Linked DNA regions of Stegostoma tigrinum. The protein of the gene in region 2 purifies or fractionates together with the protein of the main gene of each other region. This does not show direct contact. Links are inferred from orthologs where the notes say so. Each region holds a gene or a part of one and is shown on either strand. Other genes may lie near its edges.

Region 1 (7,761 bases), on a different chromosome or scaffold from region 2:
TCTACCTCTGGCTACTGCCTCACCTGCATCAACGCTCACCTCTGGTATACAGCTCAGGTTCCCACCCCCCTGCCATACTAGTTTAAACCCTCTCGAACTACTCGAGCAAACCTTCCACCCAGGACATTGGTCCCCTTCCAGTTCAGATGCAACCCGTCCTTCTTGTACAGGTCCCACCTTCCCCAGAAGGCATCCCAATTATCAACATATCTGAAGCCCTCCCTCCTACACCAGCTGCGTAGCCACGTGTTCAGCTGCGCCCGCTCCCTGTTCCTCACCTCGCTATCTCGTGGCACCGGTAGTAAACCAGAGAACACTACTCTGTTCGTCCTGCTCTGCAGCTTCCATCCTAACTCCCTGAAATCACTTTTTATATCCTCAAACCTATTTCTGGTTATATCATTTGTGCCAATATGTAACACGATTTCTGGCTGTTCACCCTCCCCTTTCAGAACTTTATACACCCGATCGGAGACGTCCCGGACCCTGGCACCAGGGAGGCAACATACCTTCCGGGAATCCCGATCTTGCCCACAAAATCTCCTGTCGATTCCCCTAACTATCGAGTCCCCTACCACGAGTACTTTTCTATTCTGCCCCCTTCCCTTCTTTGCCACAGTGTCAGGCTCAGTGCGAGAGAACTGACTACTATGGCTTTCCTCTGGTAGGTCAACCCCCCCAGCAGTATCCAAAACGGTATACTTATTGCTGAGGGGAATGCCCACAGGGGATCTCTGCACTGTCTGTCTGTCCCCTTTCCTCCCCCTAACTGTAACCCATCTATCCTCGTCCTGAGCCTTAGGAGTGACCAACTCCCGATAACTCCTCTCAATTACCCCCTCTGCCTCCCGAATGATCCGTAGTTCATCCAGCTCCAGCTCCATTTCCCTAACACGGTTTTCAAGGAGCTGTAGCTGGGTGCACTTCCCGCAAATGTAGCCAGCGGAGACGTGTGCCACATCTCCCAACTGCCACATTTTGCAGAGGAGCAAGCAACTGCCCTAGCATCCATACCCCACTTATCTGAACACCCACTCAATACTAAAGCAGAAAGCTCACTTCAAGTAATAATAACAAATTAATAACAAACTTATGTTCAATAGAGAAAGTTTAGAATGAACCTTACCTTATTAACTAGGTTAGAGGAGGAGGGCGGGTGGGAGACACTACAGTTGTAGAGTCTCGGGTTAAGCCGCCTTGCTGATATATATATAAATTATTCTTTCTTTCATGCACTGAAACAGTACATAAAAAAGACTATTTCACCCATCATGCTTGTGCTGGTTCTTTGGTAGAATGTTCATCATCCCATTTTGCCCCATAGCCTTGTTTCTACAATCTAATTTTTAAAGTTATTATTGAGTCTGCTTCCAGCACACTCATATTTCAGATCACAACAACTTGCTTTTTAAATGTGTTTCCTCAAGTCTTTTTTGCTAATATTATATCTATGTCCTTGGTCATTCACCCTCTGCCTCTGAAAACAGTTTCTTATTATCTCCTCTTAATTTTCTGGGCTCTAAGGAAAATAAGCCCCGTTTCTTGTGTCCAATTAACATCCATCCTTCATCAGTGTAAAAGCAAAATACGCCAGACTTTGAAGGGTTGAAATAAAAGCAGAAAAAGTGTTGGAGAAATTCAGCAGATTTGGCAGTATCAATGCAAAAAGAAGGAAAGCTAACATTTCAAGCCTGATATGAATTTTCTTTGTGAACCAAATAAAGTTACATATTACACAATTATTCTTCCCAGAGATGCTATCACAGCTTCCTCAACACATTGTTTTTCTTCAAAACTAAATTGGTGAGTTTCTTCTACATCCTTTTCAAGGTCTTCTAAAGTGTAGTGCTCCAAACTGAAAGCACACAAAACCCCTTCACTATGGCCCAATTAGATAGGTTTTCCATAACTCCTTTGGCTTTTATAATGTAGACCTCGATAAATAAAGCAAGGATTTCGCAAAGAAATACAAAGCCTTCATCAAGACCTTTTTTGTTCCTCTTTCCCCACGAACATTGAACAGGGTAGTTTATACAGGGGAGGCAGGGACTCTTGTGGTGCAATGGGAGTCTCCCTACCCAGGAAGGCCTGGGTTCAAATCTCACCTACTCCAGAGATGAGTAGTAACTTCTCTGAATAAGTTAATTAGAAAATATCTATATTTTGTACATATCCTGAATGATGTGACATGGATTACTGAAGAATTATACTACAGTTGTCTTCAGTAAGGTAGGGGTTTAGTGTGAAAGGGTGCTGGGATTGGAGAAGGACTGACATCTGCAACACAAAAGTTGTAGTGGCTCAGTGGTTAGCACTGCTGCCTCACAGCTTTCCATCCTTGGGCAACTGTCCGTGTGGAGTTTGTACATTCTCCCCATGTCTGCTTGGGTTGCCTCTGGTGTTCTGGTTTCCTCCCACAGTCCAAAGATGTGCAGGTTAGGGCGGATTGGCCATGCTAAATTGCCCAGTGTTCAGGGATGTGTAGGTTAGGTGGGTTACAGGTCTGGGTGGGATGCTCTGAGGCTCGGTGTGGACTTGTTGGGTCGAAGGGCTTGTTTCCATACTATAAGGATTCGATGATCTATGATGATCTAAAGTAATAATGGCTTGTGCAGAACTGCTTAATCACTAGGGGTTCCTGTGGTGTATTGGTAATGTCACAACCTCTGAGGCAAGAGGCTCACTTTCAAGTCCCCGCTGCTCCAGAGCCGTGTAATAACGTCCCTGATAAGGAAGTTGATAAGGAAAATATTTACAACATGTAGGTTCCAGGCCCCTCGGTGTTACTGGATGCTGGGATTGGTGGTTGGGAGAGAAAGAGAGAGAGAGAGAGAGAGGCGGAGGGCCATTTTGGAAGACGGCGAGGAGGAAGTTTCTATCAAACCGTAGCAGCCTCGATGATGAGGGAAGACAGCAGCTAGACTTACATTCGACTCCGGGTTTTATCCCGCTCTGTCTCGGCCTCCACCTCGCTCAGACGAAGGAGCGCGACTGCATGACAACCGCGCGACACTCACTCAGGAAGGACCCCCACTTTGTCCGGCGCAGCCGCCTGACTCTAAAGACAGAAATAACTCCGCTAGAAATGTCTTCAAGTAACTCTCCGATTATACTGTCAGACTTTAGTAAAAGGAAATGTGGTTCCATGTTTAAATGAAAGGTGGGAGCAAAAAATCAGGCTGTATGGTCATGACCAGTGATTGAGCCTTTCTGCACATAATCCTTGTTCTGCTGAAACTCCTGTTTTCAGGAATAATGTTCCCTCCGCCTCATCATTCTCCCATAGGCATTAATCTTAGAATTTCTGAAGGAAAATAAGTTAACATTTCCATTCTAATATTACATAAGGAGCAGTTTGTTTTCTTTCAGCGTCTGCATAGTACTCTGAGGTACAGTTCAAAATGACAGCAGCGTAATGGTAGGAATAGAGTCGAGCATCAAAAACATGCCACGCACATAAACCGGAGGTTGATGAATCAAAATTAGCCTCCGCTAGGTAATTGCAGCAGTGAATGGACGCGGTCTTTCATCCACAGCAGCAGTAAGTGTAACCCTACCTTCAGATCATTAGACAGTCCCACCTGCTCCAGGTGCCTGAACAGGTTGATTTAAAGATATCTATATTTCATGTCAAACACGACGAGTTATTTGCAAAGTTCTAGCCCCTTTGTATACCATAGAGGCCTTTAGACAGCAATCTTGCCCCCTTGTGAGTGGAGCAGGTGATGGTGGTGAATGGGCAGATACTGGTCCAAGCTTGGCAGATAGCTGGGAAAGTTTAAATTGAAATTTAGGCTCAGAAATATTGACTGTAAAATAATTGGCTTTTCTTTTTAAAATATCTGGTTCATAAATAGTCATTAGGAGAGAAAATCTCTTTACCCTCCTCACCTGATGTATGTAGTCAATGCGTATCTAGACACATAGAATGACAGTTGATTCTCAACTGTCTCTGAAATGGCCTAGTAAAGCCCTGAATTCAAGAGCAGATAAGGACGGGGAACAAGTTCTGGCTTTGCCATAACACACTCACATCATGAAAGTTTTTAAAAATGTCTGGATTTAGTAGTCATTGTAGCATCATGCCTTGAAAGATGCATGTTGAAAGTGTTCATAAGTCCCAACTTAGAAGGAGCAATTAACCTAATATATGGAAAGCTGCAAAAAGGTCCCAACTCTGAATTGGAGTCAGACCAGAACTGACCCCAACTAACACTCCTCTGACCCAACACCTTCACCACTTGATTCCCTTACCTAACGTTCTGTCATCCTAGCCCTTCACCCACCTGCCATCCTACTCTATCACCCACCTAACTTATAGACTCACTTTTTCTCTGTACTTTGCCCAAATGCTTTGGGACCTTTAAACTCTGAATTACAAAAGTAAATAGGGGATGTGGTTTGATCTGCAGCCCTGATCCCACGCTATGATGGAAGACTCCAGATTGTTTACATGGCACATTTGTCAAATGGACCAATTTGTAAATCCGGGTCAGAAATGTGGAGTACCTTGGGAAAAGTAGGAAGACAGGTGTGGAGTTGCAGTCTGAATAGATTGCCACACTTCAGATAATGCAACTCAAATGTTCTTCACTGTTATATTTAAAGGCTCAGTGAAGTCCTTTTCCTAATACAACATCTTCACCATTCACTCAGTTTCAGCACCCACTGTTCTGTCCAACCTTGATTCTCGTGGAGCTCATTCTTAATAAGATATTTGAATTCTGAAATGTGACTACCCTTCATAAAGCAAGGCAGAAGGATGTCTCTCCTCCTGCACTGGTGAGTCATGTTTTGGTCGTCTTTGTGGCTGGGCAGGCTGATGGTAGAACATGTACTGGTTCAGGCACCAAAGGTAAAAGGACTGTGCAAGAGGCAAAACAGTTTCCCACACACTGCCAATAAATGTAGGATAAATGGTATACTGGGGAGCCAATGACCAGGACAAAGGTTGAAAAGTAAAGTTTCAGGATGATTCCAAAAATGCAGGGCTTTTTCTTCTCTGTTCTTTCACTCGATGTGGACTTCCCCATCAATGTCCCACTTATTGGTCGTGCCTATTTGCCCTTGAAAGTGAGCGACTTAAAAGGCCGTTCAGAGTGTTGTTGAGAATCAACTACATTACTATGAGCCTGCAATTACGTGTAGACCAGACCAGATAAGGACAGCAGACTTTGTTCTCTAAAAGACATTAATGAACCGAGTGTGTAAATCATCCATGTGAGTATTTGTGGCTGCACCAATCTCTAGTTCATCCCACAAACACATAATCATAGATCTTGGTAAGTGCCAACCCGTAACATTTAGTCATTGACATCTATTTACACTCATTGGTAGACCAATAAATTTCAAACAGACCAAAGATAGTCATTCACCAACTGATGCTCCACCAGTGATTCTTGTCTCAGTTTGTGTCCCTTGGAACACCTTCTGGAAAATGGAGTCCATCATTACAGAGATGATTAGGATGAGTGTTGAGAGAAACTATTGTGTCTTGTCCTTGACCTTCAGGTGGGGAGACTGTGCCAGAATAGAACATTACTGCAGATGCTAGAATTTTTACTGAAAACAAAAAATGCTGGAAATCACAATGGGTCAGGCAGCATCCGTGAAGAGAGAGGAAGCTAATGTTTTGCGTCTAGACGACTCCGCATCAGAGCTGACCTGAAGTGTGGAGGGGGCAGCATTTATGCAACGGTATGGGAGTGGAGTGCTGAGGGAGAAAGGGTGTTGATAGTGCAAATTAAGTGACTGGAATGTGAGAATGGTCTCTGATCACTTAATTTGCACTATCAGCACCATTTCTCCCCCAGCACTCTGCCCCCACACCGTTGCATAAATGCTGCCCCCTCCACATTTCATGTCAGCTCTGATGAAGAGTCATTTAGGCTTGAAACATTAGCTTGCTGTCGGCCCATCGATGCCACTGACTCGTTGCGATTTCCAGTATTCTTTTTCAGACGCTGCCAAAGTACCTCTCCCCAAAGCCAGGCCAAGTGCAGCAATGTTCACACATGGATCACTTTCTATCACACTATTTGGAAAAGATAACTTAAGGAGATTATTGGATAAGATACACAAGGTGTCATACAGTTAATTATTTTTAAGATGCTACATGTGAAAATACTTCTAAATGTTCAACATCATTGCAATATGTAACATAAAGTAGATCTTACAAATTACAGGACCTAAAGATTAAATCAATTGTATGTTGAGGAAATTCTCATTACAGTAAGCCATTTCAAAAATCAGCAGCGAAGAGCTAATCACAAGATAGATTAAAGAAACAAACTTGTACTCCATTGCAAGTCTTTCTTCTGAAATATGCATAACAAAGCCTTCCACAACCAGCCCAGCTCATCTCTACCTTCCTAACCTGTCTTCCTCTCACCTACCCCCCCCCCCCCCCCCCCCCCACCCCACCTCAAGCCGTATCCCCATTTCCTCAGACTAACCTCATCCTGGCCCCTTGACCTGTCCGTCCTCCCCGGACTGACCTATCTCCTCCCTACCTCCCCACCTACAGTCACCTCTACTGGCTCCATCCCGGCCTCTTTAACTTGTCTGTTTCCTCTCCACCTATCTTCTCCTCTATCCATCTTCGATCCACCTCTCCCTCTCTCCTTATTTATTTCAGAACCCTCTTCTCCTCCCCATTTTCTGATGAAGGGTCTAGGCCCAAAACGTCAGCTTTTGTGCTTCTAAGATGCCGCTTGGCCTGCTGTGTTCATCCAGCTCCACATTTTGTTATCTCGGATTCTCCAGCATCTGCAGTTCCCATCATCTCTGAGTCATTTTCTACATTCATTTTGAGGTTAAGTGGCAATCCTTGTCAAATTGTTCTTCCTGTTGACTATCTTGCTTGTAATGAAATACTGTGTCACTTTTCATATATTTCAACCTGTGCTTTTTGCCATTCTGGCCAGTTGCAGAAATAACATTCTTAGATAATTGTCATTCTTGACTTTTTTTAATGTGTGTGGTGCCCGTTTGAGTGGATTGTATGCCAGAGCTTGAGCTGTGGTCACCTAGGATAACCCTTGTTGTCCAGTTGCCTCTGTCTGATTTTGAGTGTTGTCTCAAATGTAGGTGGCTTGGTGCATGAATGAAGGCATTATGCCTGCTGCCAGAATATCAGGTATTGAATTGTATAATGCATTGATTTCCAGCTGGATGTTAAGGGAGTTGAATTCCTTTTCCTCAGAGTTGTCATATGGCAGAAACAGCACAGTTTGTGTGCAGTTCATGCGTCATTTGGAAACCAACAATCCTTATGAAGCTGCTCCATCTGCATAATCTGGTAAGAGAGAATGAAATATATTCAGCTCTCTTGTAATCAAGAACCTTAACAATGTTGCATTTGGATTGTGGAATAGGCTTGAGGGGCTAATCGGTTAATTTCTATCAATATTAATCTTTATAAGATCTCTCCTTACATGTCTTTTTTATGGCCTGAAGTACACTACCTTATCAAATGATTCTTCATAAAGCACATTGCTATACCAGAGATCAGCCTTATTGTTTCTCTTGGCATTGTTTTAAGTCTCCTTATGTTCCGATACTGGGGGCGTAGTAATGCTCTGGACATGTTTCGCCAATGCATTATACAACATCATCATGACTTACAGAATTGGAAGTTAATCGATTTGGCAGTACAATCTGGTACACCTGCATGAGAGAGAGACATTTGCTTCGTCTAATGAAAACAAAGAATATGAAAGCTGTAGGGGCATAAGAAAGTAGGAAATGAGATAAGTCTGG
Region 2 (6,989 bases):
TCTCTCTCCAACGGCTCTTTGCAGCAGACCAGCGCAGTGAGTGTCCACACGGTCTGACCACCAGCTGCTGCCGCGCTCCACACTGGGACTGGGCCATTGCCACCGGGCTCCACACTGGGACTGGGTCACTGCCACCGGGCTCCACACTGGGACTGGGTCACTGCCACCGGGCTCCACACTGGGACTGGGTCACTGCTACCGGGCTCCACACTGGGACTGGGTCACTGCCACCGGGCTCCACACTGGGACTGGGTCACTGCTACCTGGCTCCACACTGGGACTGGGTCACTGCCACCGGGCTCCACACTGGGACTGGGCCATTGCCACCGGGCTCCACACTGGGACTGGGTCACTGCCACCGGGCTCCACACTGGGACTGGGTCACTGCTACCTGGCTCCACACTGGGACTGGGTCACTGCCACCGGGCTCCACACTGGGACTGGGTCACTGCTACCTGTCTCCACACTGGGACTGGGTCACTGCCACCGGGCTCCACACTGGGACTGGGTCACTGCTACCTGGCTCCACACTGGGACTGGGTCACTGCTACCTGTCTCCACACTGGGACTGGGTCACTGCTACCTGGCTCCACACTGGGACTGGGTCACTGCCACCGGGCTCCACACTGGGACTGGGTCACTGCCACCGGGCTCCACACTGGGACTGGGTCACTGCCACCGAGCTCCACACTGGGACTGGGTCACTGCTACCGGGCTCCACACTGGGACTGGGTCACTGCTACCTGTCTCCACACTGGGACTGGGTCACTGCTACCTGGCTCCTCACTGGGACTGGGTCACTGCCACCGGGCTCCACACTGGGGCTGGGTCACTGCCACCGGGCTCCACACTGGGACTGGGTCACTGCTACCTGGCTCCACACTGGGACTGGGTCACTGCCACCGGGCTCCACACTGGGACTGGGTCACTGCCACCGGGCTCCACACTGGGACTGGGTCACTGCCACCGAGCTCCACACTGGGACTGGGTCACTGCTACCGGGCTCCACACTGGGACTGGGTCACTGCTACCTGTCTCCACACTGGGACTGGGTCACTGCTACCTGGCTCCTCACTGGGACTGGGTCACTGCCACCGGGCTCCACACTGGGGCTGGGTCACTGCCACCGGGCTCCACACTGGGACTGGGTCACTGCTATCGGGCTCCACACTGGGACTGGGTCACTACCGCCATGTGTCACACTGGGACTGGGACACTGCTACCGTGCTCTGCACTGGGACTGGGTCACTGTCATCACCCTCCTCACTGGGACTGGGTCACTGCCACCGCCCTCCTCACTGGGACTGGGTCACTGCCACCGCGCTCCACACTGGGACTAGGTCACAGCCACCGACCTCCACACTGGGACTGGGTCACTGCCACCGCGCTCCACACTGGGACTAGGTCACAGCCACCGACCTCCACACTGGGACTGGGTCACTGCCACCGCCCTCCACACTGGGACTGGGTCACTGCCACCGCCCTCCTCACTGGGACTGGGTCACTGCCACCGACCTCCACACTGGGACTGGGTCACTGCCACCGACCTCCACACTGGGACTGGGTCACTGCCACCGCCCTCCTCACTGGGACTGGGTCACTGCCACCGGGCTCCACACTGGGACTGGGTCACTGCCACCGCCCTCCTCACTGGGACTGGGTCACTGCCACCGCCCTCCGCACTGGGACTGGGTCACTGCCACCGCCCTCCGCACTGTGACTAGGTCACAGCCACCAGGTTCCACACTGGGACTGGGTCACTGCCACCGCCCTCCTCACTGGGACTGGGTCACTGCCACCGAGCTCCACACTGGGACTGGGTCACTGCCACCGCCCTCCTCACTGGGACTGGGTCACTGCCACCGAGCTCCACACTGGGACTGGGTCACTGCCACCGCCCTCCTCACTGGGACTGGGTCACTGCCACCGAGCTCCACACTGGGACTGGGTCACTGCCACCGGGCTCCACACTGGGACTGGGTCACTGTCATCACCCTCCACACTGGGACTGGGTCACTGTCATCACCCTCCACACTGGGACTGGGTCACTGCCACCGGGCTCCACACTGGGACTGGGTCACTGCTACCGCCCTCCTCACTGGGACTGGGTCACTGCCACCGAGCTCCACACTGGGACTGGGTCACTGTCATCACCCTCCACACTGGGACTGGGTCACTGTCATCACCCTCCACACTGGGACTGGGTCACTGCCACCGGGCTCCACACTGGGACTGGGTCACTGCCACCACGCTCCAACTGGAAATGGATCACTGTCATCACCCTCCACCCTGAGACTGGGTCACTGCCACCCCCCTCCGCACTGAGACTGGGTCACTGCCACCCCCCTCCGCACTGAGACTGGGTCACTGCCACCCCCCTCCTCACTGGGACTGGGTCACTGCCACCCCCCTCCTCACTGAGACTGGGTCACTGCCACCACCCCCCTCACTGGGACTGGGCCTCTGTCACCGCGCTCCGCACTGGGACTGGGTCCAGTGGCAATTGTCACTGGAGTCTTAGTCCAGAGACCCTGGTAAAATTCAAAGCTGGTTTTAAGGCTTCCTAAGGCAGATGATGGAATTTGAATTCAATAAATATCCAAAATCAGGAGTCTAAAGATGACCCTGAATCCATTGTTGATAGCCAGGAAAAACCCATCTGGTTCAGTAAAGTCCTTTAGGGGAGGAAACTGCCATCTTTACCTCGTCTGGCCTACGCGTGACTCAGACAACACAGTAATATGGTTGACTCTGGGCAATTAGGGATGGGCAATAAATGTTGACCTAGCCAGTGATTAATGCATTTCATGAATGAATAAAACAAAATCTTCTTCATGTGAAATTATCTTACAATTGAGCTCACAGTACCAAAACAGGCACTCAACATAACTGGCTCATGTCAGGGGTTCTGCTTCAGAAGAACCAACCTTATCAAAATGATATTATGCACTATAGAAATATATATTCCAAGACAGACATCGATATATTTTTACACCTTAAATTGGTTTGGGATTGGTAAGTGGAATTGCTGTCAATGGTGAAGTCAGCTCACTTATTCCTTTTTATTATGTTATTATAGGAAGTTGAACTATAGATCAGCCATTACTTCCATAAACTGTAGCCTCATTCTTTCTTAAACCCAAATGCCTCTCTTAGATATTACCAGTTAAGTCTACCATGCTACTGAAATATAATGAATCCCCAGGTGGCTTAGTAGCAAGCACTGCTTCCTCACAGTACCAGGCACTTAGATTCAAGTCTCAGGCAATTGTCTATGTGGAGTTTGCATGTCCTCCCTGCTTCTGCCTGGTGGTCTGGTTTCCTCCCACAGTTCAGAGGTGTGCTGGCTAGGTGAAATGGCCATGCAGGTTTATGGGGATAGGATGGGTGGGATGTTCTTCAAAGGATTGGTGCAGACTCAATGAGCCAAATGGCCTCTTTCTGCACTGTAGTGGGTCTATGAAAACCCAGCCATCAAATGTTTTGGAAATTAGGATAACTTATCTTGGTAATTCCCTTCAGCCTCACAAACCTCGAATTGAGTAACCCCCGTCTTTTATTTCTGGCCTCTTTTGATTCCCACCAACAATTGCTCCACTACTGGGAACTGTACATTCAGCTGCTAATGGATTCCAAAACTCTGGAAGTCTCTTACTGTCTCCATTATATCTGGCTTAATCACCTCCTTATGGATCTTAAAACCCACGATCAAGCTTTTATTCATAGTCAGACTTCATTCGATAATGATCCTGAAAAACGCTTTGGGAGGTTTCATTGCGTAATAGGCGCTAGAGTATGGTATGTACAAGCTGTTGTTGTTGATAGTGATGAACTTGGGTTTGGCGGAGGAAGGAAGGACTGGAGCGGAACCTAGTTTCGGCGCTTTTGTTTCCTCGTCGGAGCTGGGCGGGTGGTACAGCCGGAAGTGTTGTCGGTGGTTGGAAACCGGTGGCGGCAGCAGCATGGCAACGGTGAGCGGGGACCGGGGGACGGCGAGACAGATCCTCGGGGGAGAGCCCTCACCACCCCCCCGGGGTAGGGGAGAGCATTCCGTTGTTATCCAAGCGGGAGCGGGCCCCCGTTAGAACGGGCAGAGATTCCCGGCGGAGGGAGCTGCGCGGCTGCAGAATGTTCGAGATCCTGGTGCCCGGGCTCTTACCGTCCCCGTCCCCACCGGCCCCCAAATTCCCCTCACACTCCCCTCCCCCCCCCCCCACCGCGCACACTCCCATCCCTCCCCCCCCCGCACACACTCCCTCCCCCCCCCCGCACACACTCCCCCCCCGCACACACTCCCCCCCCCCCCACACACTCCCCCCCCCCCACACACTCCCCCCCCGCACACACTCCCCCCCCCCACACGCACACTCCCCCCCCCGCCACACGCACACTCCCCCGCCACACGCACACTCCCCCCCACACACTCCCCCCCCCCCCACACACTCCCCCCCCCCACACACTCCCCCCCCCACACACTCTCCCCCCCCACACACTCTCCCCCCCCCACACACTCTCCCCCCCCCACACACTCTCCCCCCCCACACACTCTTCCCCCCCCCACACACTCTTCCCCCCCCCACACACTCCCTCCCCCCCACACACTCCCCCCCCCCCACACATCCCTCCCCCCCCACACACTCCCTCCCCCCCCACACACTCCCTCCCCCCCCACACACTCCCCCCCACACCCTCCCCCCCCCCACACCCTCCCCCCCCCCCACACCCCTCTCCCCCCCCCCCACACCCTCCCCCCCCCACACCCTCCCCCCCCCACACACTCCCCCCCCCACACACTCTCCCCCCCCACACACTCTCCCCCCCCACACACTCTCCCCCCCCCACACACTCTCCCCCCCCCCACACACTCTCTCCCCCCCCACACACTCTCCCCCCCCACACACTCTTCTCCCCCCCCACACACTCCCTCCCCCCCCACACACTCCCCCCCCACACACTCCCTCCCCCCCCACACACTCCCCCCACACCCTCCCCCCCCCACACCCCCCCCCCACACGCATGCACTCTCTCCCGCCCCCTCCCTGCAGGCACACACTCCCCCCCCGCACGCACGCACACTCCCCCCCCCCCCCCCGCACGCACGCACTCTCCCCCCCCCACGCACGCACACCCCCCCCCACACACTTCCCCCCCCCACACACTTCCCCCCCCCGCACGCACCCCCCCCGCACGCACTCCCCCCCCCCCACGCACACCCCCCCCCCCACGCACCCCCCCCCCACGCACTCCCCCCCCCCCACGCACTCCCCCCCCACGCACTCCCCCCCCACGCACTCCCACCCCCACGCACTCCCCCCCCCACGCACTCCCCCCCCACGCACTCCCCCCCCCCACACGCTCCCCCCCCCACACACGCTCCCCCCCCCACACACTCCCCCCCCCCCACACTCCCCCCCCCCACACTCCCCCCCCCACACTCCCCCCCCCACACTCCCCCCCCCCCCCACACTCCCCCCCCCCCACACTCCCCCCCCCCCCACACTCCCCCCCCCCCCACACTCCCCCCCCACACTCCCTCCCCCCCCACACTCCCTCCCCCCCCCACACTCCCCCCCCCACACTCCCCCCCCCCACACTCCCCCCACACTCCCCCCCCCCCACACTCCCCCCACACACTCCCCCCCCCCACACACACTCCCCCCCCACACACACTCCCCCCCCCACACACACTCCCCCCCCACACACACTCCCCCCCCCACACACACTCCCCCCCCACACACACTCCCCCCCCCACACACACTCCCCCCCCCCCACACACTCCCCCCCCCCCCACACACTCCCCCCCCCCACACTCCCCCCCCCCACACACTCCCCCCCCCCACACACTCCCCCCCCCCCCCCCACACACTCCCCCCCCCCCACACACTCTCCCCCCCCCCCACACACTCCCCCCCCCCACACACTCCCCCCCCCCCACACACTCCCCCCCTCCCCCCCCCACACTTGTCTGCATTAAACTCCATTTGTCACCTCTCAGCCCAGCTCTGCAGCTTATCCATGTCTCTCTGCAACCTACAGCATCCTTCGTCACTATCCACAACTCCACCGACCTTAGTGTCGTCTGCAAAATTTACTAACCCATCCTTCTATGCCCTCATCCAGGTCATTTATAAATATGACAAACACCAGTAGACTCAACACCGACCCTTCCAGTACACCACTAGTAACTGCTCTCCAGGATGAACATTTCCCATCAACTACCACCCCTCTGTCTTCTTTCAGCCAGCCAATTTCCGATCAGGTTTTCTAAATTAAACTAGTCCCATTTACCTGCATTTGGTCTACATCCCTCTAAACATTTCTTATCCAAACACCTGTTCAAATGTCTTTAAAATGTTGTAATTGTACATACTTTTACCACTTCCTCTGGCAGCTTGTTCCATTTACACACCACCCTCTGTGTGAAAAAGTTGCCCCTCGAGTCCCTTTTAAATCGTTCCTCTCATATTAAATCTATGCCCTCTAGTTTTGGACTCCCCTACGCTGGGGAAACTTGAAAACTGCTCTTTAGTTAGTGCTTGGGGAGCTGAAGACATACCTAAACTAATACAGTAGGCAGAGAGGCTCTTAAAGAAGCAACTCATCTGCAAGGATAACAGCTAGACACGTGGATGTCGGCAAAGCTTCAGAGTTTATTCAACTGTTGTCCCTTAACAAAAATATAAAAATGAAGAGAATTGATCCTTAGTTCACTTTGCTCTGGCCATAGGCTACCAGGCAGAAATGAGTCTTTCCACTTTATCTGATCAGTACAATTCTGTATTCAAATATGCTTTGAAGTTAATTTGATCCAGCAGCAAAGAAGAAAGTTTCAGAGGAAAGAACCAGGAAGAGTGGGAAATGTTAAAACCTTTGGCCTTTCAGGATGCTGCAAGGCACAGGACTGTAGTTGAGAGCGAAAAGCACGGCTGCATCATCAACGTCTCATTGTGTTCTGGCCAACAGAGCAGAAAGTGCAGTCCTGTGATGTT
Region 3 (6,917 bases), on a different chromosome or scaffold from region 2:
ACCACTTAAGTGACACTCAGCACAATTCACAAGGAAGCAAAACAGGGCAGTCGAGGACTCCAGCTTGCTTTTCATATGCACAGGGAGGGGTTAGTGCAACTGATAAATCCTTCTCTGCTCCCCCTATTGTTTACAATTATAGAGTAATCCAGTGCAGTACTGTGATGATTGGTGGCCAGCAGCCTTCAAACCACAGTCCAACTGGAGCCACAATGTTCACGAAAGGAGAGATAAAGGGTATAATTATCAAAATACAAATGCTAACTTAACATCTTTAAATTTCTTTCTGCTGCACTGTTTAGTGCAAACAAAACAGCTGCAATAAAATGTACAACATATACCAGAACAATGAAATTCATGCAGCATCACCACTTCTGGTGAAACTATGAGAACACTAATTTTTCAAAAAAAAGTCATTTTCAACAGCTTTCTCAATTTCATAATCAGACAGCAATAAAAGAAATCAGTAATTGGAATGCAACATCCACTGAATGAATTGTCATGCTCATAATAGTATAAAATAAAGCAGTTACAAGTCACCAAGTCCAATGACACCAAAATACATGAAGCCCATAAATAAACAGAACAGCCTTTAAGTTTAGCCAATAGTTTAAAATGCAAAGCATGTATTGCAATACAAACCTCAAATCGTGACCACAGATCTTTTGTGACTACTGAAAATTTTGTTCTTATTATGAGATACTAGAACTGGATTTCAGAGATGGAATTCTGACTTTGTATCCATTTTCCCAGAAGATGTACACTACTGTCAATACATATTATCGTGTGCTAAAAACATCTGGTCAGTCACATAGGAAAAACCAGTTGGTCCTAAACACTTCACATTTTATTTTCTAAGTTAAATACATAATGAAATTTCAAACAAATTGTTTGATACTACACCATCATGTTTCTCTTTCCACTCAAAATGGAAGTGCCTCAACTTAACATCCAAGTCTACCAACAGTACAAGATTCCTGCTTCTACATGAAATCCCAACTTTCATTTGAAACTGTAATTAATGCACTGTACAGAGGGAAAACAAACTTGCAAACCATGAAAATACTCAGAAACCAACTACAATGAATACAGATGTGTAACTATCGATACGAAGATTTGAGATTTACATACACACAACATGCAGACAACAGATCTGACATGTAAATCAACAATTCACAGAAGCAGAATGTAGGAAAGAGACTAGAAAGATAACCCACAATTGTCACAGTCGTGGCCACACTAAACTTATGTACTCTGCAAATGGTATCCTCAGAACATGAAACATGCAGCAAAAGCCCATATCACAACAAGACACTGGAAGAAAATAGATAGTTTAAACTTGCTCTAAATTTATCAAAATGAATTTGTGCATGTATGCGCCTTTCCTCATTGAGGTTAATAGATAATCCACTGCTTAAAAATTACATACTAGTGTAAAAACAGATCTATTTGCCTATGATAAAGCATTTATCAGCAAAAATCTCAAAATGCAAATCCCAGACTGCTGTATGAGTCACCTACTCATTTGGTTGTTAATGAGCAAGTTTTGTCCCATTTCATCAATTTTCACCAAATACAGCTCAGGATTCCAGGCAATTTCTCAACCATCTCAGCATATACTTGCACACTCAAAGTTTGGGTGTTAAGCTGCATGCTGCCAATTTAGAAAACAAAATCACTTCACCAATGGAAACCCACTTTGTAATTTCACCCAGTTAAGGCATTCACTTTCCCACACTCCTATAATTTACAGATGCACTTTTACAACCTGTGGTAAAGAGTTAACTCTACAACCTTTGTAGCCCAGTCTTGTAGCCATGAAGCCGGGAAAACACTGGCCCCTCTGCTTCCAAACTTCTTAAGCCAAGTAGGAACACCCTCCCATCTCCCTGTCCAGACTGGAGATGCAAACACCTGCCCTCCACCAAAGTAGAAACCCATCCCACCACATCCACGTTGGGATTTAAAAACACATTCAGGGTAACGATCGTATCTCTCTCGCTCTCTTTCCCCCAGCCCGGGAACACAATTTCTGCCCCTTCCCACAGTAATTAGCACAAAGCTCCATGGTTACAAACTGTCTCCCACCCCCTCAGGGTAAACAACCTCCATCTCACTTCTGCCCCCTACTGGGGTAAATTTTCCCTACTTAAGCCCCTCAGATTAAAGACCACCTTTTCAATTCTTCCTCCAACAGGTTAAGCATCCTCACACCTAACTTGTCTCCACTCTCCAGTTGAACCCCCATCCCCTCCCCCGATTTGGGGTAAAGCCCTCTCCAGTTGCCCCCTTTCTGGGGGGGGGGGAGAAATTCCTTCCAGTTCTGAGGGTTCTCTCCCCCCCATGAGGGTAAAGGTGCCCCCCCTCCCCCAGAGGGTTGGAAGCTCCCCTCTGCTCTCCCTCCGGGGGAGAAGATACACCCTCCTCTCTCTCTCTCTAGCCCCCCCTCCCCTCCCAATCACCCACGGTTTTAAACCCCTCTTTCTCCTGCCCCCTCTCTGGGGTAAACTCCAACCCCCTTTTCTCCTGATAATAAACACCCGCCCTTCCCCCGATGCCACGTTGTTCGGGAGTTAATCGACTTTTCGATCTTTTAATTCTGAAAGCGGGAGGATCTGGAAACTCAGTCCCTCCTCACTCACCACCTCGAGAACAACCTCTAATCCACCCCCTCTCCCAAGGGAAGGGCCGGAGAAGGCCGGGCTCTTTCTCACCCACCGTCGCTGAAGGACGGGCACCTCTAAAGTCGGGAAGCAGCGGCCACTCCAACTCCTCTCCGCGGCTTCGAGAGTGATCGCGGGGGTGACGGTGAACTCTTAACTTCTTTACGTATTTTTAATAAATGTCTTCGCTCTTCCTCCGGGTCGCCCCGCTATCAGCTCTGCCCACCACCATCTCTCTCTCCCACGCCCCACTTTTCCCTTTCACATACACTCACTCTCTTACACTCCTCCTCCTCCGTCTCCCGCTTTCCAACAACCGCCGCTGCCAGCGACTCCAATCAAAATGGCGACCGGCAGCAACGTCTCTTTATAAAGTGGCAGCGACACGGTGCGTGCCCCTCCGCCTGCGGAATGTAGTGCGTAATTTTCCAGCCCACACCTGGCAGAAGGAAGGTGAAAAGGGGGGTGTTTATAATTAAAATAACAATAACTTAACCCTTCTCCGGCCTTTATCACACGCAGACAACGCATAAACCTATGTCAAACTTAAAATTTTACAGCACAGTCTAGAGTTGGGTTATGTTTGATCTGATTTGTGACTGTTGATAAAACCTATTTTTGCCTATGCCCACCCCCATTTCTTTTCTACTGCTCCCTTACCCAGGCCCGGAACGTCGCGGAAGGATACTGGCTAGGTGCCGTAGCCACAACACCTTGTGGTCAAGGATCGCTGGAACCACAGAGGCAGCGAGTAGCAGCTCAGCGAAGCAACTTTATTTTTGCAGCTGCAATGAGACTTTCCACCATATGCATAACATCCTTTTATTTATTTGGACTTTTATGTTCGTGAATTTCATATACGTTTCTGCATTGGGGCCAGAATTGCAATAAATTTCTCCCCTCCCTTTCCCACCAAACTTGCATTCTTCGCGATTGAGTTTTTAACTTTCTAAAGTAAACAGTTAACTTCAAAGACCCGAGTTTTGCAAACACAAAAGACGAAGCGTGGGGATAAAAAGAAACCCGCACCATTTTCTTTCGTCGGGGAGGAGAGCGAGCCTCAAGAGTTATTTTGGTTGTAACACGTACGAGTTAAGCATTTCAAAAAGTAATGAACTCACCCAAAATTCATTGAAATTCACGGAAGTAGAGATGTACAAAGTTCACTTCTAGGCATCCCACACAAAGGAAAAATGCTGCAGCATTAGTGGAAAAAGTATTCCAGTGTGCAAAAATACTTAAGTCGCAGCCTGGTTGGATTACCGAAAGCAAAACCGATCCTAAAAATAAGGCTAGAACAATGTGGTCTTTTATTTGCAAAAGTAATTTTTCTATTCCCACTTACTTCCCACATGAATCTTCCTGGCTCAATCTAAAAAGAAAACAAAGCTAAATCAATTATGATTTATAACCTTCGGAACTGCATCATTTATTTATAAACGTTAGCTTCAAGCTGTGCAAATGTAAAGTAACCACACTATCCATGAAATGGAACCCCAAATGAAGTATTTAAGCCTTGAATTATGTGAGATTTGTAATTCTTATTGGTGAAGACGGCATCTGGCGTATTATTAGCGAAAAGTGTTACATATAATATGCAATTATATTTTTACATTCAGAAGGTTCTTATGCTCAAGACATTTTTAAAAATCAGTCAATGAAATACTTGTGAAGTGTAGTAAATGAAGAATACAGCAGTCAAAATTGTGTCACGGTTGTGTAGCATGTACTGTGGTGATCTTACAAAGCAATACAGATAGGTTAAGTGAGTGGACAAAAGAACTGGTAACGAGTATAATGTGGCAAAGTGGGAAATTATCCATTTTGGCAGAAACAGCAAAAAAAATGCATATTATCTAACTGGTGAGAGGTTGCACCGCTCTGAGATGCAGAGAGGTCTGCGTGCTTGTGCATGAATCAAGGAGGGTTGGTACAAAGGTACAGCAAATGGTTAGGAAAACTAATAGAATATTATGTTTTATTTTGAGGGAAATTTAATGCAACATTAGGGAGGTTATGTTTCAGTTATAGAGGACTTTAGTGAGACTGCATCCAAATTATGGTATAAGTACTGGTCAACATACTTACAGAAGGATGTTAATGTATTGGAAACTGTGCAGGAAAGATTTACTCGACTAATAACTGGAATGAACAGATAGCCTTATGAGGAAAGGTTAGGCCTGTGTTGTCAGGAGTTTAGAAGAGTCAAAGGGACTTCATTGAAGCACAGAAGATCCTTCTGAGGGGCCTTGAGCAGGTGGATATCATGTGAATCTCTTGTAAGGGAACCTAGAATAAGAGGTCACAGTTTAAAAGTGAATGGTCACCCCTTTAAATCAGTGATATGGAAAAAATTCTCCCCGAGGATTGAGAATCTTTGGAATTCCCTTCCTCAAAACACAGTGGATGCAGAATCTTTAAATATTTTTAAAGCAGAAGTAGACAGATTCTTGATTCCTGAGGGGTTCAAAATTATCGATGGGATATGCGGGAACGAAGAGTTGTGGTTAAAATCAGATCAGCCATGATCTTATTGAATGGGGGAACAGGCTCAACGGGCCAAGTGGCCTACTCTTGTTCCTTCTTATGTTTATATCCCTACACCATGAGAACAGCAGGAGCTCATGAGGGCAGCACACTCTCAGTTTTTCCATGGCAATTATGGATGGGCAACATATGCTGATGTAACCAATGGCTCCCACATGTGCTGTTGAACAAATAAAAAGAACAGCTGCCTGACGTTGAGATATATTCCCAGCATTTTCACATATTTTATTTAACTGTATACTTTGATAGTTAATCATTGTCTAGGTAACCACTGTCTGATTTCATAAACAGAATCATCTATTAGTACCCATCACATTTGAGTGTCATTGTGCAGCCACTCACTGATTGGTTGGTTGAGCTTTATTTTGCTGTAATTCAACTCAAACATGATATCATGGGAGTGACTGCCTGATCCTGTGACCCAGCAGCATCTTTATCTGAGGCATGACCTCAATCGAACACAGCTCGCCATTGGAAGATGTCAATATGCGTATTGGACTGGGGTGGACAAAGTCAAAAGTCGCATGACACCAACTTATAGTTTAGTTCAACAAGTTTATTTGCAATCACAAACTTTTGGAGCACTGCTCCTTCGCCAGTGGCAGCATATGGGATTGTGATACAAACTCAAATAAGTTTAACAGGTTGGATGACATTCTGGAATCCTGTGGTACATATATTGTACCTTTTCTTAAAGTCATTTTTGTAACCCTTTTTTCTGTCCTTTTTTTTCTCACCTGTTTTTTGCATGTCCTCAATAACTATTTGCTGATTATTGCCAATACCACTTAATTTCCAGGCATTAGAAGGCAGTTGATATCTGCACAATATAACTAGCTCTCTGGTACTTAATTTCATATGGAATTACTTAGATCTTATGTGTTACTGCCCAATTGAAGCATTATTAAGACCTGCAACTCAACACATGTAACATGCAAGCCAGAGTACTTCTGTCAACCAGTACTTGATACTTCCTGCCCCGAAACATGAATTTAAGTCTTTTGATTGCAGCATCCTCACTATATAATATGTGTCAGTGCCTTATGGTACAGATTTCATTGATATTGTGACCTCTTGAGAATACCAAATTTAAACGTATCACCATGGGTAGCTGTGCCTTCATCTGCAAATGTCCTAAACTCTGAAATCCTTCCTTGAAACCCTCTACCTCTCTTCTCCTTTTTCTTTTCTTCAAAATGCTCCTCAAAAAGCCTACCTTTTTGGCAATCTTTTTGTCATCTTGTCAAAGGCTGCAATCAGCTGAGCCATGATCATATTGAATGGTGGTATAGATTTACTGGGCTGAATGGCCTACTGCCAATTATAATTCTCATGTTCTTAGGATTTACATTACTTGCTGCAAAATCTTTTTCCTGTATTGTGCCTGTAAAGTACATTGAGGTGTTTCACCGTTTGAGAGGTGCGTTATAAATATATAATGGGGGCAGAATGGCACTAGACTATTAATCCAGAGACCCAGGCAACATTTTGGGACCCGAGTTTAAATTCTTCCATAGCAGATGGAATCAACAGTCCAGTGATGATCATGAAAATCTTGTCAATGGTTGGAAAAGCCCATCTGGTTCACTAATGTCCTTTTGGGAAGGAAACTGTCATCCTTACCTACTATGGCCTACATGTGACTCTAGACCGACAGCAATGTGGTTGACTCTTAGGAATGGGCAATAAATACTGACTTAGCCAGCG

What was found. The genes of interacting proteins can lie anywhere in the genome.
Region 1: the proteins of ruvbl2 (region 2) and eftud2 purify together in Homo sapiens (affinity purification with mass spectrometry; 5 studies listed by BioGRID and IntAct, with this or other methods). This does not show direct contact. The link is inferred for Stegostoma tigrinum from reciprocal best matches to the Homo sapiens genes RUVBL2 and EFTUD2.
Region 3: the proteins of ruvbl2 (region 2) and ctnnb1 purify together in Homo sapiens (affinity purification with mass spectrometry; 5 studies listed by BioGRID, with this or other methods). This does not show direct contact. The link is inferred for Stegostoma tigrinum from reciprocal best matches to the Homo sapiens genes RUVBL2 and CTNNB1.

Annotation. Positions count from the first base shown.
Region 1 is NC_081384.1:27,961,044-27,968,804, reverse strand, and holds the start of eftud2 (116 kDa U5 small nuclear ribonucleoprotein component), read right to left. Parts: upstream 3,050-7,761; 5' UTR 2,928-3,049; intron 1-2,927. UniProt on the Homo sapiens protein: Required for pre-mRNA splicing as component of the spliceosome, including pre-catalytic, catalytic and post-catalytic spliceosomal complexes. Component of the U5 snRNP and the U4/U6-U5 tri-snRNP complex, a building block of the spliceosome.
Region 2 is NC_081391.1:18,535,665-18,542,653, forward strand, and holds the start of ruvbl2 (ruvB-like 2), read left to right. Parts: upstream 1-3,879; 5' UTR 3,880-3,962; coding exon 3,963-3,971; intron 3,972-6,989. UniProt on the Homo sapiens protein: Possesses single-stranded DNA-stimulated ATPase and ATP-dependent DNA helicase (5' to 3') activity; hexamerization is thought to be critical for ATP hydrolysis and adjacent subunits in the ring-like structure contribute to the ATPase activity.
Region 3 is NC_081355.1:8,431,248-8,438,164, reverse strand, and holds the start of ctnnb1 (catenin beta-1), read right to left. Parts: upstream 3,050-6,917; 5' UTR 2,939-3,049; exon of another isoform or gene 2,933-2,938; intron 2,849-2,932; exon of another isoform or gene 2,719-2,848; intron 1-2,718. UniProt on the Homo sapiens protein: Key downstream component of the canonical Wnt signaling pathway.